2 linked regions of the Kluyveromyces lactis genome follow. The protein of the gene in region 1 interacts with the protein of each later gene in a pairwise test. Links are inferred from orthologs where the notes say so. Each region holds a gene or a part of one and is shown on either strand. Other genes may lie near its edges.

Evidence for each region.
Region 2: the proteins of CDC12 (region 1) and GIC2 interact in binary tests that used the Saccharomyces cerevisiae proteins (3 or more experiments, as listed by UniProt). The link is inferred for Kluyveromyces lactis from reciprocal best matches to the Saccharomyces cerevisiae genes CDC12 and GIC2.

What each region holds. Positions count from the first base shown.
Region 1 is NC_006041.1:1,924,628-1,927,913, forward strand, and holds CDC12 (septin CDC12), read left to right. Parts: upstream 1-1,433; coding exon 1,434-2,618; downstream 2,619-3,286. Other genes in the region: TRP4 (anthranilate phosphoribosyltransferase), read right to left, coding at 1-954; KLLA0_E21605g (thioredoxin-disulfide reductase), read right to left, coding at 3,060-3,286. UniProt on the Saccharomyces cerevisiae protein: Septins are GTPases involved in cytokinesis that assemble early in the cell cycle as a patch at the incipient bud site and form a ring approximate 15 minutes before bud emergence, which transforms into an hour-glass shaped collar of cortical filaments that spans both sides of the mother-bud neck.
Region 2 is NC_006039.1:1,288,664-1,291,514, forward strand, and holds GIC2 (Gic2p), read left to right. Parts: upstream 1-1,194; coding exon 1,195-2,301; downstream 2,302-2,851. Other genes in the region: KLLA0_C14740g (uncharacterized protein), read left to right, coding at 163-723; VMA22 (Vma22p), read right to left, coding at 2,621-2,851. UniProt on the Saccharomyces cerevisiae protein: Required for cell size and shape control, bud site selection, bud emergence, actin cytoskeletal organization, mitotic spindle orientation/positioning, and mating projection formation in response to mating pheromone.

The DNA of each region.
Region 1 (3,286 bases):
ATTTAGCAAAATATAGTCGTAGATCGGGTTTTCACCTTTCTTGTAATTGCCTGACAGTATTTCTTCAGATAGTATCCTTGCATTCTCGCGAGGGCCCAACGATGGGCATTCTGCAAGAGTATGCTCTTGTAAACCGAAATCTGACGGGTTTATAGAGAATGATTCGACGGTACCATTCAAGGTCACATGCCAAACAATAGTGTTCCCTACAGGTGATACTTCATCGAGACCAACTTCACCCCAAACGACGAATGTTTCACTGTCAGGATAGATAAGTCTTGCTGCTTCTGCATACTCAGGTGCCAATTCCTTGGAGAAGACACCTAGAACTCTTTTTTGAACATGGGATACAGGATGCAATAACGGTCCCAAGACATTAAATATTGTTGGGATACCCAATGCTTTCCTGAGCAGAGCGACATGTTTCATACCGTCATGGAAATAAGGAGCCAATAGAAATGTGAACGAATTTTCATCCCAAATTTTAGGTAAAGTCGACGCAGTCACCTTAGATGAATCACAACCTAAAACTCCGATCAAATCACCAGCACCTGAATTGGAAGTCGATGCTTTCCCACCATGTTTACAAACCTTCAAGCCTGGGATGCCCGAAGCGACAATGGCTGCAGAAGTAGACACGTTAAAAGTGTTTTGGCCGTCACCACCTGTACCGACGATATCTAAGACAATATCATCAGTATGAGTCAAGGTCGTTGAATCGACAACAGTTGAAAACTTCAACACAGCCGAGGCAGCAGCTGCAATATATTCAGCTTTGTGATCCAATCCAGTTGCTCTCAACACTGAAAGGAAAGAGGCAATCGGTACCACAGCTTCCACAGTAAATTCCTTCGATAGCGTATCAATTATGTAAACGATAACTTCGTGCAATTCTGCAGGAGTCAAACTAGGCGGGCTCTTCAAAAGCTTCTTCGTAAAGGAAATAATACTCATAGTTACAAAATGTAGAAGCTGGTAACACAGCGATACCTTAAAGGTAGGAAGGCACTACTTAGCAGTGAGAGTAGATTTGCCGTTATTTAACGCAAAGTGATTATCTTTCTATGTACCAGTTTGATATATGTTAATGACTATATAGATCCACGGTTCGAGAAATAACAGAATATACATTGGAAAGCACGTGACTCGCTTCTCATTACCCTACCCTTCTTTGCTCGAGAGATCTCTGAAATGTTCCTGGGAACCTAGGATTCCTCGACACGAAACAATTCGAAACTTTGTTCAAATATAGAATACTGGCTAAAACAAGCCTATATTAAAATTGAAATTGGAATTACAGTTTGTTTACAGGAGTTATCGTAGCTACCTGCAGTAACAATCTGACCTTCTGTTCATTAGCAAATATAACATTGTGTGCTTCAGCAAAAGATAGTATAATTGGTACCAATTAATTGCAACGGAACTTTGAAACAATGACCACGGAAGAATTTGTAGGAATCTCGAATTTACCAAATCAGATCTACAAGCTGGTATCCAAACAAGGTGGAGTATTCACCTTGTTAACATGCGGTGAAAGTGGTTTGGGTAAAACTACCTTCATAAATACGTTGTTCCAGGCAACATTGAAGCCATCTGACTCCCATACAGGCCGTTCGATGCAAGGGCCAATTAGGAAGACCGTGGAGATTGATATATTACGTGCAGAACTAGAGGAGAAGAATTTTACCTTGAAGGTGAATGTAATTGATACTCCCGGGTTTGGTGACAACATCAATAACGATAAATCGTGGCAACAGATCATTGATTTTATAGACGATCAACACGATTCCTATATGCGTCAAGAACAACAACCATACAGAGATGTGAAATTTGATCTAAGAGTACACGCTGTACTGTACTTTATCAGACCTACAGGACATGGTTTGAAACCATTGGATATTGAAACTATGAAGAGGATCAGCACTCGTGCTAACTTAATTCCCGTAATCGCCAAGGCTGATACTTTGACAAGTCAGGAATTACAAGATTTCAAGCTTAGAATTAGACAGGTCATTGAGGCACAAGAGATTCGTATCTTTACACCACCTTTGAATGAGACACAGGATGATGCAGCCGCTATGGAACATGCTAGACAACTAATTGAATCCATGCCATTTGCAATTGTTGGTTCAGAAGAACAATTCGATAACGGTAGTGGTACCAAAGTTGTTGCAAGAAAATATCCATGGGGGTTAGTGGAAGTAGAGAATGATCAACACTGTGATTTCCGCAAATTGAGATCGTTGTTGTTGAGAACAAATCTGTTAGATCTTGTCTTATCCACTCAAGAGCTACATTACGAAACCTATAGGAGATTACGTTTGGAATCTCATTTGAATGGATCGTCTAACGATAACGAACTAGGAGAAAAATCGGCGAACAACTTCGTTGCTGCACCAGCAAGAAAATTATCACATAATCCAAAGTTCAAAGAAGAAGAAAACGCACTAAAAAAATACTTCACTGATCAAGTTAAGGCCGAAGAACAAAGATTCAGACAGTGGGAACAAAACATTGTGAATGAAAGAATTAAACTGAACGGTGATTTGGAAAAGATTCAAGCCGAAGTAAAGAAATTAGAAGATCAAGTGGCCACATTGAAATTAAGAAAACGCTAGGGTGTAATGGTTCGAAATTGTTTTTTTCATTCCCATTTATATTCCTTTTAACAACCCAATTTTTATGTTATTTTCCATTCTCACATTATTCTCATTGAATAATGCCATTTCTGAACCTTGTAGAACGATGTCCACACAGTTGTTATTTTAAACTACTTTCTATTGATCTTTCCTATATATCAATATAAGCTGTAAAGATGATATGTTATCATTATTTATTCTTTTTTTCTCTACTCGGAAGGGAGAGTATAGAAGATATTGGACTAGCGGTGGAAAGGTGAGCCTTATAGACTAATGAAAGAAAATCTTCCTCCTGCTGAGAAACTAGGAACAAACATAAATTTCAATTAAAGGAGTAGTCGCGATGATATTTATATATAAGATATAGACATAATATCAAAGCTTTGATATGGGAATCTCACCAAATTTATCAATGTGTATCTATTCTAATTCAGTGATGTACTTTTCAGCATCCAAAGCAGCCATACAACCGGAACCAGCAGATGTGATTGCTTGTCTGTATCTGGCGTCTTGAACATCACCAGCAGCAAAGACACCTGGGACATTGGTCAAAGTGGAACCTGGCACGGTCTTAACATAGCCGGCTTCGTCAAGATCAACTTGACCAGCAACAATGTTAGTGGCAGGGGTGTGACCAATGGCGTAGA
Region 2 (2,851 bases), on another chromosome or scaffold:
TCAGCGGCTATTGAAAAGAGTATAAAAGTATCCAGCTTGGAGACTTTACGATTTTCTTCTTCGAATCATAAACCGCCTTACATAGAAACGGTCTATTATATAAAAAACACAGACAGTACGTAAGGCAGTAACTTGGGAAAACAAGTGCCACACAAAGTTAAAATGGGCGAGGTGAAGAGTTACTTACGAAAATGGAGACGCTCTTCCATTCTTAAAAGAAGCAGTTTGAAGGATAAACGGAAAGAAAATTGGGAACAACGTATAGAGAAGTCCTTGAGCGAATGCGATGACATTAAAAACTTATTGGCTGGTCGTCCAACGACACCTGATATTGCAAGAACGAATAATAGTACATTCCTTTCCAAGCGCTCTAGGGCTTTTGTTACAGAACCGTTATCGAACCAAGAATTGGATAAAATCAAATATATGAATTTTGCAATGGAGAGAGATTATAGAGCAGGTACTAGGCCAGTGATACCGAGAATGGATTCAACCAACAGACGAAAATTGAGCGTAAATCTCACCCCGACATCGATTTCAGCAGATGACTCCGAGAATAATGCGATAGTGAAAGACTTTTCTGAGTTCATTGAAATTTCTTTCAATAGTTTGAGCATTTCCGATGAATACACACCCCAACCAAGCTTTTCCAAAGAGTCCGAGGAACCTAGAACCGCCAGTTCTAAGAGTCTAGAAAGTCTATGGAGTAAAAATGTGAAATAGTCGTAATTGGTAACCATGTTGGGTCAACTAATGACTTATCTAACCCACGAAAAAAAGCCGTAGAAACTTGAGAAAAAATAACGGCCGCCAAAAGAAAAAAAGAAGACATGAAACCCAAGAAAAAAGAAAAAACCGGATTGGCGATGGTGAATTAGAGAGGTTAGAAAACATTAATTTTCGATCAACGAAACGTATCTGCATTCCTGAAGAGGGTGCGAAAATGAAAAATCGTGTTTTTACCTAATATAGGAATTCCTAAATTAACTGAATCCAGTAGTAGTTAACCATAGATGCGAAAAATGTCAGAAAATTGTGAAACCTAGGAATGCATGAAACATTACCACTGTGGACGCGGCCGATATATGTATATATAAACGGATAAACATGATCCAGGGTACAAAGGCCATGATTTGAATCATCAGAAACCAGGCATTGCCGAATAAAACAACCAACAGATCTGGGCCAATACTTATGATGAACGTACCTCAGATCAAGTCGATCTGGCTCGATGAAGACGATGAAACAGAAAAATTATATGGTTTACAAGCTCACCAGCTTCTGGATTCTGACGATGATGATGAATTGGGCGTTGTAATGATCAATAGTGATAAACCTGTCTTAAGTAATAGGAAAAACATTAATCTTCCTCCATTGCCGCCAAATGCGTATGATAAACAATCTGGAAAGAAATCTTTCAAGAAGAAGAAGAACAGCCTCTTAAAACTGTTTCAAAATAAATCAAGTAAAGAAGAACCTCCTAAGTTAAAAATTTCTGTCCCATTTGGATTTAATCACATCTCACATGCAGATTCTAAGGCAGGATTTGAAATGCCTACTGCAGATTCACCACCACCATCTAACAGTCACTTACAGGATATACCGGAAAATACCAAATTTCCGACAAACTCAACAATCAATTCCCCAACGCAAATGACTAAAGCTTTCGTAACAGATGCAATTCCATATGCTAAACACCATCTGGTTTCTAGAGGGTCATCTACAAAACGTTCTTCGGTTGGATCCAGTACGTACTCGAACCAAAGAGTGACATCAACTTCAACAATGGCTACCTCCTTGCTAAACGATTCGCATATGCGTTCCATTTCAAAATTAACTACCCTAGAGAAGACACATTTGAAGCATAAATATTCTCAATCAGATGCCAGTGAAGTAGATGTCGATTTCCTAAAAAACTATCAGTTCCCAACTTTGCTAGAAGAACAATCAATCCTCCAGGTATCAACACCTGAAACGGGAGACAAGAAAATAGACAAATTCCAATGGGAAACACCAGTAAATTCTGCGGATCTTTTAGAGACTATGCTTTTGGATGACTTGAAATCAGTACCAAAAAAATCAATTACACCAAAGCACTCATTGAAAAGAAACTCTGATCCAATTCTGACACCAATTTTAAGGCCATCAGAATACTTAGACTCTCCAAGAACCAGAAGGTCAGTTGATGATGTTTTATTATGCTATCTACAGCCTAGTGATGCTGGATCGTCATTGGATGAAAGCTCTAGTGAGTTTTCCTACGCTAGAAATTCAAACATTTACTATAAATCTATTCTATGATCTTCACCCGTGGCCAGGGCCATTCCATTCACTTTCACAATTGTTCTCAAGAAAATATACCCATCTTTCACTCGTTATTGCATTTACTGAAATCAGCTCTCTTTTTGATACAGATTAACCCTTCGTCGTTCATTTATTAATAATTAATCCCCAATCTGCATGTGTACAGATATACACTCATTGTACGTCTTTCAATTGGCGCCATCCAACGTTATTTTCGTTTCCAGTAAACTGTTCTTTCCAAATTAGCAATTGTACAGATAGTTTTCTTTTGTATTAACTCTGATATAAGATCATTCCCATAGCAATTATAAAGTTCTTAAGCTGAATTTGACAGAGTCCCTAGTGCGTCAAGTAGACCATTAAGAGTACGTCGAAGTTCTAGTAGTTGATAAAGTACCGGCATCGAAGCTTTGAAAGATAATTGACATTGTTTCAAAGAGCTTGGGATTGAAAGGGCACCTCCGAACATATATATAGGATCCTTCTTCACCTTTGCCAATAGTTTTTCTCTTTGTTTTCTCTTCTTTAAATTCTCATTGGTTGCTTC